3 linked regions of the Cricetulus griseus genome follow. The main gene of each other region encodes a partner of the protein of the gene in region 3 in a complex. Links are inferred from orthologs where the notes say so. Each region holds a gene or a part of one and is shown on either strand. Other genes may lie near its edges. The genes, in order: Prkg1, Cnn1 and Itpr1.

Region 1 (3,650 bases), on a different chromosome or scaffold from region 3:
ATAAATCAAACAAAACACTAGTATATGAAATTATATTAGAGCAGAAAGCGATCTATTTAACACATATATATGAGTAAGGCCACTGGGATCAAAGGCCTGAATATATACTCTATATGAAGACACAAAGGCACTAAACAGGTAGATTTGGGAAGGAGAACCTAGTCAGGAATTTATAAAGAACCACTTGATCTGGGTTATCTAAAAAAGTAACAGATAGTTAAAATTTTTATGACTCTTAGGGACATCAGGGCTATCTCTAGTTAAGTTTTGCAGGGGTGGGGGTGGTAGTGGTGATTATCCAATGGAGAAGAACTTGAAGGCACCGTTGGAACAAATACGAAAAAGAAGTTTTCCAAAAGTGCAAAGACAATGGCACACACCTACAATGCCAGCACTCTGGAGGCAGAGGCAAGGGGAGCAAGAGTTCAGGGCAGCTTGGGCTACATAATAGGCCCTATTGCAAAAAGCCAATATTTGGGAATGTAGCTCAGTGATAGATTATTTGTTTAGCAGGTACAAGGCTCTAGAATTGATCTCTAACACAGGTCCTTTATAGGAAGTAACCAAAAAGTATTTGTAGGAAAACAAAGTTGTTTTTTAAAACAACAAAAAAAATGTAGATGACAGAAAAATAAAGAAAACAACTTTTCACAATTCAGAGAAACAAATATGTACTCTCTAGGCAAATTTTACCTCCTAAGGAAGGGCAGGAGGGCAAATAAAATTGTTTACATAAAGAGGGGCAAATAAGAGGATTGATTTCTCCCCTAAAGATTAATTTACCCCATAAAAGATAGGGTTGCTATCTGAAAACTGAGTGGTACAATTAAAGTGTCAGGCAACACAGACTGTAGTTACGATGCAGCTCTGGGTCTCCCCAAGTTATCACACAGTGAGGAATTTGAGGTGTAGAGCTGGATCATTCTGATAATCACATAATTTCCTAATGATCATTTTTAATGTGGATTCAACCCTTACCACTAGTTACAAGGTGAGTTTTACATATCTTATAGTAAATTCTATATGCTATTGGCTGTCTCATGTTTACATTTGAAATTATAAACATACATAAAATGTAAATATAATTTTATTTATGATGATGATGATGATGATGATGATGATGATGATGATGATGGATTCCTCTTGTAGACCATTATGGGCCACTCTGTTTTCCAAAACATGACAGAAAAGATTTAAATCTCCTACCTATCCCTGAGAATAGTCCAGAGCTCTCCACCTAGGCAAGCTTCCATCAACATATACAAGTATTTGCTGTCTTTAAATGTCCTGTACAGCCTGTGAACAGTAAACAAGAGAACAAAAGTATGAACATTATTATCTTTTAAAACATTTTTTTAAGTTTGGTGAGTTATTTTGTTGATATATTGATATAAAATTATGGACTACAACAAGGTGTCTTAACACATATACGTGCCGCTTAATAGCTAAGCCAGGGTACTAAGCACACGTATCGAATGTTTGCAGTACGAAGCTGAGGTGGAAGGAATGAGTTCTGGTTCAACTTGCAGGGTTTATAATATTGTATTGAACATTTCAAACTAGATAACAGAGATAACTTGCAATGTTCTTCTCATAAAAGCCAGTACTCAGGTTGCAGTGTTTTGAGTTTTGATTGCTAGTTTTGGTATTTTTGATGAGATACAGGCACTGAAGTCTTCCAGAAGCCAGTGTCCCCTAACACTTACAAACTATAGCACTAGAAGCTTCTGGCTTGGGCTAGTCCTAATGGGTATGTGCACATGAGAGTTTCTGGAGGTTCTATCATTCTTATTTTGCTGATTTTCCAAGCATGGCCTTGAGCAAAATTTAGTGGTCATAAGCACAAAATATGTAGATATAAAGTATATCATATTTTATAAATATAGATTGTAAACAGTAACTTAAATTTATATCTTAACTTTCTGTATTACTGGCAAATTGACCATAAAATTTCTCTTGCATATAAGAGCTTCATTATCACCTTATTAGTAATATGAAAATATTAAGGTAGACAGATTAGTTGCCATTTCATAAAAGAAACCTACTGGGGTTAGGGGAATAACTCAGATGGTAAAAGTACCTGCCAGGTAAACATGAGGCTGTGAGTTCAGATCCTCAGTACCCCATGAAATTTGGGCACAGCTATATCCATCTATAAGCCCAGTGTTGGCTGGTCGGAGACAGGCAGAACCTTGAGCTCACTGGTCAGTCAGCCCAGCCAAATCAATGAGCTCCAGGTTCAGTGAGAGACCATGTCTCAAAAAACAAGGTGCAGTGTGGCTGAAGAAGTCACAGGTATCAATCTCTGACTTCCACACACATGGTGCATTTAACTGCACACCCCCCCCACATGCTCATGAGTACATGTGAACATAAACACACACACACACACACTACAAACACACAAAAATAATCCTTCAGAAAATTAACACTAAATAGACTGATTTTGGTAATTGTTTCTTTTGTTTTCTGTCTCTTGTGTTCAATGAGGATGTTTGCAGAGCTATGACAAAAATGAAATGTTGAGTTGACATCTCTTTTGAGAAAAATATCCTTTTTTGAGAATATGATTCTCTTTAAAAATAAACATGGGGTCAAACCTTTTTATATTTAGAAAACCAAACACAATTTTCCCCAGCCTTCCTTGGGAACATGAAATCACTACATTAAGGGTAAGCTCAGCGGGAGCAAGGGCTGCGCTTGACCTGCCCTTTGGAGCTGGTGCATCCATCCTTAGGGGTGTGCCTTTACCTCACTATGAAGTCAGAATGGGCCCCCTGCATGATCTGCTTCTCCGAGCGGATATGCTCCTGCTGTCTAGTGTCCACAATGTGGCGTTTCTTGAGAATCTTCATCGCAAATGTTTTGGATTCTTCACTTTTCAACTGGACCTTAAAGACACATAGAAACGGCACATGAGCGAGAATCTACAGACTTAATATGCCAGACTGCACCATTGTCCTCAAATGAGCAGATACATAAAGGATATAAATGAATCCCAACTACCACGCAAGTCACACAGGGTGATGATATCCTTGCTAGAGGGACTGAGTTTACAAACACCATGTATAACCATCCCCTAGTCTTACTGTGCTGGGTCATATTAATTAAATTATTAATTAAACAAGTTAATTTTGTGCCCATATGAATTGGAAAAATATATTTCACGTTTTATTTTATTTCATATAATGAGTGAGTATAATGCATAGTCTTCATCAAAAAACATCTAATTTCCTCTTAAATTCTATTTCATGTGCTAATGGCAAGATGTGATCACATGATCTCCTGGGACTTTATACTCTTCAAAGTCCTCATCCACAAACACTTTTAGAGTTAAGTTTAGTGATTGATCCTGGTCCCTACTGGAGCTGGAGATGTATAAGTCGTAACTGTTAGTATCCACTTTACTTTCCAATCTTTTCCTGCCTCCAGTTTATATTATATATATATATATATATATATATATATATATATATATGTATGTATGTATGTACCAAGGTGCTTTTTTGGATTTTTAAAAACCACTTTTTTTGATACCATGCTCTATGGTATCAATCTCCTTTGATCTTAAAATCTTACTCCTTAGTTGTATCCACTGTAGACTAATATAGTGAGCTTACATCTCTTGCAGCCCACATGGCTCCCTGTGC
Region 2 (4,324 bases), on a different chromosome or scaffold from region 3:
ACCCTTACCCACTGAGCCAATCATCAATCAGCCCGATGGGCTTTCTTCATGGCATGAATGTGATTATCTGGCTGGTTACTTGGTTACCTTTTCTTCGTGATGAAACCTATTACCTATTGCTGGGTGTGGAACCAGCCCAATTTCTCCCCCTGGGCTCCACATGGAGCCAGGTTCACTCCCCACACACCTAGAGCAAAGGCCTGTGTATATCAGGAGCTCTCTAAACACAGTATTAATGAGTGGTAAGTGAATGACTGTGGTGGATTGTCTGTGTAAGTGCTGAGGGTGGAACTCAGCCAGCCTCGCTCATGTATATTTTCTGCACTGAACTGTACTGTACCTCACAGCCTGTGCTGGGCATCCCAGGTGCGTGCCAAGCCATGGTGGGCTGCTCCTGTGAAGGTTTTCATCTTCCCCAGTGATGAGGGCAGTGGGAAGCCACATAAACTACATATGGGAAGTGGGAATTCTACATAAACTATTGTAACACCACCACAATGCCACTAAAACTGGAGATAAACAGCCACTGTTGCCCACTGAGATCCATAGACAGGCCTGCCCTGTAGCGTGTGCTAGCTAAGTAATGGCCTGGTAACACCTCAGGGCTTTGGGTACTGTCTTAAACCTAACTGACTCGGTCATCTCTGCCTGTGTAATGGGCACAAGTGAGTCTTCGAGGCCTTTGAAGGAATGTGGGTGGCATCAAGTATCAGGGTCTAACTACAGTTCCAGGTTTGGGATCATCAGGTGATGTTGAGGGCCAGTATGGAGCAGGTGGGGTGCTGGCTTCGGGGCGCGGTCTGCACCCTAAGAACCTCACTCACTCGCAAAGAATGATCCCATCTTTGAGGCCGTCCATGAAGTTGTTCCCGATTCGGCGACCTGTAACCCCCTCAATCCACTCTCTCAGCTCCTGCTCCCGCTGATGGTCATATTTCTGGGCCAGCTGAGATGGAGATGGAGGAATGAGGCACAGGTGATGAGGAAGCAGGCAAGAGAGAGGAGCTTTGGCCTTCTGGGGCCCATCTCAGCCCGGATAGGCCCAATCTCCTGCTTCATCCATCCCAACTAAGGCAATCCTGTCTTAGTGTCCACGGTAAGGGGGCAGGACTAGCGGGAGGCGGAGGGCCAGGATTGAGGTGGCACCTGCCCAGGGGGCCATTCCGGGCATTCTGAGGTTTGGCACCAATGAATAGACAAGAGGGGGCTGGAGAGCCTGATCCTTGAAGCTGGGGGGGGGGGGCGGCGCTTGGATCCTTGGTTTCCCCTCCAAGCCAAACTTGGGGCTTAGCTTCCCCTGACCCAGCCCCCCCTCCACTCTCCATTTGGAAGAGGAGATGCCTTAAACTGGGGGCGGGGATGAACCCTAAGAAGGAGCCCCTGGGTGCTGGTTTGCTGGGAGCCCCAGGACATCACACATAGAATCCCTGGTTAGAAATGGGGATTATTTTGTACCCTTCCTAATGCCTGCCTGAATGTGTTTCTTAAATCTGTCCTCAGCCCCACTTTGTCTCTCTCGTTGTCCCCCAACTCTGTGGTGCATTATCCTTTTCTCAGTCTGGGGTCCCCATCTCTGAAGACAATCCTGTCCAGCCAGCTCTGGGGCTCTTGGCTTTGTAGCTACCCCTCTGATCCGGTCTTCCCGGGTACGGGGTGGGATTCGACCGGCTCCCTTCTCCGCCTCTTAGCTCTTATCTCCCTCCTGGCTCGCCCGCTCTCCAACCTGTCTGCAAGACCCGCTTCACGATCTTTCAGCAATCCTGCTTGTTGGCCTCCCAGCCCCTGGTGGTAGTGAGATGGGGGGAAGGGGGATGCCTCACTTCTTCTGAATGGGGAGAGGAGGGGTGCACCCCCTTACCTGGCCCCAGCCCTGCCGCCCCCCTCCCCACCAGCCCGGCTTTATAAAGCAAACCGGCCCTTATATAGCGCGGGCCCAGGCTGCCCAAGGCCGCCTTATAAGGCGCGGCGGCTCTTCTGCGCCTCGGGCCGGCGCTGGGGGGAGGGGGCGACGCTGCCATCAGTCTCCCGCGGAGCACCCGCCCCCCACGCTTCCCCAATCCTGAACCCCTAGGATACCCCAACCTGATCCAGGTCCCAATCCCTGCTCCTTGCTCCCCTCAACTTCTGCTGTGGGACCCTGGAAAGGAAGAGCCTCAGTATTCCCTTCTGTCAAATGGGATTGCCTCTCCTAATCTGTGCAGTCCCCTGCCCCGGGAAATCGATCTATCCCGGTGTGGAGAGGGGTTTGGGTCCGCACTTGCCTCACCCGGGGCCCTAGCTCCTTGCTGTTCCTTTCCAAGCCTCAGTTTACCCATCCATGTCTCTCAGTGTCTTCTAGCTGTATGAACTGCAGGGTTGATTTTTTTTTTTTTTTTAAGGTAGGGGTCTGTCCCTTCCCCCTACATCCCTCCCAGGAACAAGAAAATTGACCAAGGACTCTGAGCAGGTGGGAATCTTTGCAGCACTCTGATTACCTCAATTTAAGGATAGTGGGGTTCCCTCATTTCACCCCTCAAGTAACCGAGGGCCCTGGGATGTTCCAAGGACAGAAAAAACGGCCCCTATTCCTTAACTTCCTTCTCTTCTCAGGTCTCAAGTCACCTGACACAGGTAGGAGGGCGCTCAGGGTCTGTCAGAGGCCAGGCTAGGCAGTCCCCCGGTCTTACCTTGTTCTTGACTTCAGCAGACAGGCCATAGGCAGGACCTCGGTTAAAATGTGCGGAAGACATGCTGGCCAGGGGGCTCTGGCAAAGCAGAGGTTCTGGTGACACTGACGAGGACAAGGCAGCTGAGCCTGCGTCTGCACCCTCTTCCCTCCTCACACGTTTTTGAAGCTCCAGAGGCCAGCCCCAGGCTCTTCCAAGCCTGTCCCATTGGCCACAGGGGCTTGCCAAGGGGCGTGGCACCACACACACACTTTGGCCACCCCCACCTCGTGATGTCAGGGCCTTGGTATTGGAAGCTGATTGTGTCATTGTTTCCACCTAGGGGGCTGTTTGCCTTATTCTGGGAGAGGGGCTTGCTCACACAGGCCACCCTCCTCTACCCTCCTCCCATGCCAACTGTCTATGTCCCATCTCTGAGTCTTCTTATCTCAAAGATGACCGGTCTCTATCCCTTTTCAATGCCAAGACAGGACCTGTGTCCACTTCACGTCCCGTTTCACCCACCCCCACCCCCACCCTGTAGTTCAGCGAGACAATCTGACTGATCTTCATACATCACCCTAAACACATAACCTTCTCCCTAGGTCTCTATTGCCATATCTACAGAAGGGCTAGTGATAGAGCTTGCCTCATTAGGATGTTGTAAAGATCAGAAAAAAAATGTCACCTCCAGGGTGCCCAGTGCAGTGCCTGGCACAAGGGAGAACCTCAGCCAAGCTTTGCTTCTGCTAACAATCTGGTACCCTGTTCCATCCCCTCCAGTCCCTCATGTGGACTTGGGGCAGCAAAAAGCCTAGTTCTAATTGGGTATGATGGCTCACACCTGTAGTCCCAGCACTTGAGAACCTGAGGCAAAAGGACTCCTGAGAGTGTGAAGCCAGCCTGGGCTACATAGTGAATTCCAGCACAGCCTGGGCTATAGAGTGAGACCCCATCTCTCTCCCCCACACATGAGTTAGTTTAAAAGGGGTGGGAGGAGGCTGGCAAGATGGACTGATGAGTTAAGATGTTTACTGACAAACTTGATGACCAGAGTTTGAACCCCAAGATTCACATAGTGGAACAAGAGAGCAAACTCCTGCAACTTATCCTCTGACCTCTATTATGTGCAAACACACACACACACACACACACACACACACACACACACACACACACACACACAAATGTTAAAAGGTAGAAGCTAAGACATAGGTCTATTAGTAGAATCCTTGCCTAACATGCACAAAAACCTGGGTTCAAGCCCTAGGACCACATAAACCAAGGCTGGTAATGCATGTGCATAATCCCAGCACCCAGGAGGTAAATACAGGATGTTCAGAAGTACAAGGATGACCTTGGCTACATACTGAGTTCAAGACCAGCCTGGGCAACTTGAAAAACAACAACAACAACAACAAAACAAACAAACAAAGATCCTAGACCTTCTCTCACTATTTATCCATTGGTCACCTGAGCCACCAAGGCCTGTGTTAGCTGGTCTTGGGCCATGAGTACTCCCCTGTCTCTAGCCAGCTCAGGCTGGTCTGGTTGGACACCTGTAAACATCCCTGTCTAGGACAGCTCTCATCTGGACCGTGGGGTTGAATGCTCCAACTGCATCATGTCAAGTGTAGGATAGTGACACTTGTATGACATCAATCTCTGTGCATTAATGA
Region 3 (3,650 bases):
CCACTTTAGACTTTTCGCATTCCATAAATCCTAAGATGTCCTGATATGACAATGGCCAGCTCTCACTGCATCTGGGTTTGATCAATCCACCTTACTAAAGAGGTCTTCTCTTACAACTCCATCAGAAACCATTATCCTTGCCCCTCCCCCACCTACGGCATTCTCCGAATCAGCCCACACCCTTCTTCTTTAAAATAATTAACTTTTTACACATGTATTAGTTTTTATCCACATGCTTGTCTGTGCACCACCTGCATGCCTGGTACTCATGGAGGCCTGAAGACAGCCATCCAGTTTCCCAGGAACTGGAGTCACAGATAGTTGTGAGCCACCATATAGTACTGGGAATGGAAGGCAGGTCTTCTAGAAAAGCATGTAAATGCCTTTAACCACTGTCATCTCTGCAGCTTCCAGTTGACTCGTTTTTATTTTTAAATAACTAAGCATTGATTTTTGGGATGGCGTGTGCCTATGCTCCCTGTCAAAACAGAGCTTTTTGGGACCAGAACTTTAGTGGGTTTTGTTCATTGCTTGCTTTCCAAGTGCTAAAAGGGACATGGATCTGGTGTCAATTAACATTCCTGCGTGGGTAAGTGGGTAGATGAAAATGGCAGACCATTGAGGGGGAGGAGGAGGGAGGGAGAGGAGGGCTCTGCAATGCGAATAGAACTCTGGAGAAGCACAGTGAATGAACAGCAAAGGCAATGGCTTGGACAGAGAAAGGGAGGCCGGCTGGGATGTAGAGCTAAGGTAACCGAAGGAAGCTCTGGGATGACAGAATAGGCAAAGCCATGATGGGAAGGGGTAGACAATGGCAACCAAGAATTAAAGGGAGTCAATTGTGAAATGATACACAGGGATGAGGTAAACATTTTGCCCCTGTTCCAGCAGAGAGAAGAGATATTAAGCAGAGATTCTATGAGTATCTTGTTCCCTGCACCATACCTGGAGGATTTCAATGATCTTTAACTTGGTGTCCATGACCATGATGTCCTCCTTCTCTGGCTCTGCCTGCTTCACGTTTCCTTCAGGGGCAGCAGCCATGGGAGTCATGGGCAAAAAGCCTCCTCCCCGAAGCACCACCTGGGTCATGAGCTCCCCAACTCCATGGATTGATCTCATCACGTTACTGCCTAGAAAGGGCCAAGACAGATCATGGTCATGACCTTCCCGGAGACAGTCTGAAGCATCTGATTAGAGGTATTGGTATTTTGAGGCAAACTATTTAACACATCCCTGTTCTGATACACTCTCTCGACCCAAGGAACCCAAGAGGTTAATAAGCATGACCAATTTAAGGCCTCTGAGAGCAGTGGGAAGAACTTGGTTTGACATCTCCAATGGGGCATGTTTATTTATTAATTCCAGCACCAAATTTGACTCAGCTCCAAGGATGTATGCTTGTGATTGTGCACACAATAAGAATGCAAGTTAGCAGGCACAAACGCTGCTGCTTCGAACAGAAGTCCTGAATACATTGCTTCACTTCTGAGGCTCAGTTTCTTGAGCCTATAAAAACATCCCTATGGCAGAACTCAATGCTATTATGTATGCAAAGCAACATCCCACAGGGACTTGACAGAGAGGAAGAATTGAGTCAAATACCTTTTGCATCCTAGTTATAGAAAACTAAGCATTGGTACATGGTGGTTATACTATGCATATTCTGACCCCCCAAATACAGGAAAAGATAAACACACGGTCATGGATTTTCCTATTCACAAAGTGAAAAGAAATACCAAGATCCAAGTGTGTGCCCTTTATTTCATCCTAGTATCGAGTATCATCATCAAGTGTCTCAGAAGCATCAGGAACAGATGGCAGGACTTGGGTTTTGGAGGGTTAAACACTCAAAGCACAGGGCAACTTTCAAATTATTCAATAAGACACATGGAAGGACTCAAGACAGATGTGAAGGAAAAAGTAAATTGCTGAGAATGACCAGAATGACCAACAGTGATGGGCATGGGAGTCAATGGAACCCGTTCCAGATTTTATTTCTATTGGTATGTTCCCAATGTTGAGAACGGACAAGGACACGATAGGATGTCACGTGATGAGGCATGGCATGAGTGAAACAGCATGGGCCGGGAGGGCATCTCTCAGTACAGACACTTCAGATACTCACTCTTCAGCTTCTCCTCATCATTGTTACCTTTATTCTCTTCTCCTTTGGCCATCTTGCTGATGGGAAAGATGGTGGTCACATGGACACAGTCTAATATTGCCAAGAGGATCTTGGTTAATCGGAGAAGGTCAGAAAAATTGTAGAAACCAAAGTATATGAGATTCCTGGCTAGGTTCACAACCTGTTGCATTTAAAAGAAAAGGAAATCGGTATTCAATGACCTTTGTCCTCTGTTTCACTCTGATGCTGACTAGCTAATCCTGTGAGATCATGCTCTTCTCTATGGTCAGAGAAAGCATACATCTGGCTATCTGTTTCTGGTTAAAGTTCATTTTGTTTTACATGATAGAAAACTAAGAAATGCAAGCTTACAAAACAACTCATTTGCTTTGATGACTAGTTCATAAGAAATGGGCCTCATCAATTGGATTCCTGACTTGCCAAGGGCATACCAAATCATAGCCAGTAAGAATACAGATAAGGACACTGCAGTTCTCTGGAACGTAATTCCTGGATGGATGGTGGTCCTGGAAATAGTTTAATATGAAAGCAACACAGTTTGTGTCCCTAAATGATGAGTCTACCTGACTGGCAACTGTTATATTTTTTCTGGAAAAAATCTGACCCAAATTCTTTTTGTGTTTCAAAACTAGAGCACTGCGACATAGTCACCAAGGATTAAAATATTTCCTACTTACTCCACGGAAAGATGGCCAGTGCTAACAAAACTTCAGAGACCACTCATCATGCCTTACCTCAAATGTAAGCTTATTTTTCTCCTTATCAGAGAAGGGGAATCTTTGACAGACCACATCTCTTAGATACTCCTCCACAAATTCCATCGTCTGAGCAAACCTCTCCTTAATTTCATCTTTGGAAGCCCCGCTGCTGTCATAGCTGAGAGAAGAGAGAGAGAAGGAAGGAGAATGTCAAACTCTTCCCAGCCAGACCCTTTCAGGCTGCTCAGCCTCCAAAGACAGCATCCCCCAACCTGGGCCCAACTTTACACCTCCTTCCTTAGCATGGTTGCTTACATATACAGCCACTCATCATGTTTACTGTCTGTCTGTCCCCACTAACATAGAGGTAGTTTTCTAGATTCTGCAGTAATATTCTTCAATGTTGGCACACAGTACACACTCAGATATTTCCAGAGGGAAAGGCCTAAATAAGAGACAGAAAAAACACAGCCCTGGCATCCTATTTCCTTGAGGAAGTAAACAATATTTGCTAGCTACACAATTCTATTTAAATCTGAAAGGAAAAAAAAGTTCTTTTTTTCCTATGATTTTACTAGGTCATGTATGTGGTTTATCTCCTGGTACACAAAACATTAGAGTCATCGGATTTTTAAGTGACATAAAATCTCTACAGGAAGCTGGACCCAGGCTTACTCATCAATGGCGATCTCGGAGGGAATTTCTGACCACAGACGGGCGTATTTCACAGGGGTCACCTGCTCCTGAGGATCACGGTCCACATGCATATGAAGCATGAGGCGGCAAAAGGATGCCCTGAGGTC

What was found.
Region 1: Itpr1 (region 3) and Prkg1 share a complex: the UniProt entries of both Homo sapiens proteins name them as parts of the cGMP kinase signaling complex. The link is inferred for Cricetulus griseus from reciprocal best matches to the Homo sapiens genes ITPR1 and PRKG1.
Region 2: Itpr1 (region 3) and Cnn1 share a complex: the UniProt entries of both Homo sapiens proteins name them as parts of the cGMP kinase signaling complex. The link is inferred for Cricetulus griseus from reciprocal best matches to the Homo sapiens genes ITPR1 and CNN1.

The regions. Positions count from the first base shown.
Region 1 is NC_048596.1:30,845,894-30,849,543, reverse strand, and holds part of Prkg1 (cGMP-dependent protein kinase 1), read right to left. Parts: intron 2,892-3,650; coding exon 2,752-2,891; intron 1,297-2,751; coding exon 1,207-1,296; intron 1-1,206. UniProt on the Homo sapiens protein: Serine/threonine protein kinase that acts as a key mediator of the nitric oxide (NO)/cGMP signaling pathway. GMP binding activates PRKG1, which phosphorylates serines and threonines on many cellular proteins.
Region 2 is NC_048597.1:134,990,302-134,994,625, reverse strand, and holds the start of Cnn1 (calponin-1), read right to left. Parts: upstream 2,813-4,324; 5' UTR 2,730-2,812; coding exon 2,667-2,729; intron 947-2,666; coding exon 825-946; intron 1-824. UniProt on the Homo sapiens protein: Thin filament-associated protein that is implicated in the regulation and modulation of smooth muscle contraction. It is capable of binding to actin, calmodulin and tropomyosin. The interaction of calponin with actin inhibits the actomyosin Mg-ATPase activity.
Region 3 is NC_048601.1:36,108,887-36,112,536, forward strand, and holds part of Itpr1 (inositol 1,4,5-trisphosphate receptor type 1), read right to left. Parts: coding exon 3,523-3,650; intron 3,026-3,522; coding exon 2,884-3,025; intron 2,310-2,883; coding exon 2,156-2,309; intron 1,134-2,155; coding exon 946-1,133; intron 1-945. UniProt on the Homo sapiens protein: Inositol 1,4,5-trisphosphate-gated calcium channel that, upon inositol 1,4,5-trisphosphate binding, mediates calcium release from the endoplasmic reticulum (ER).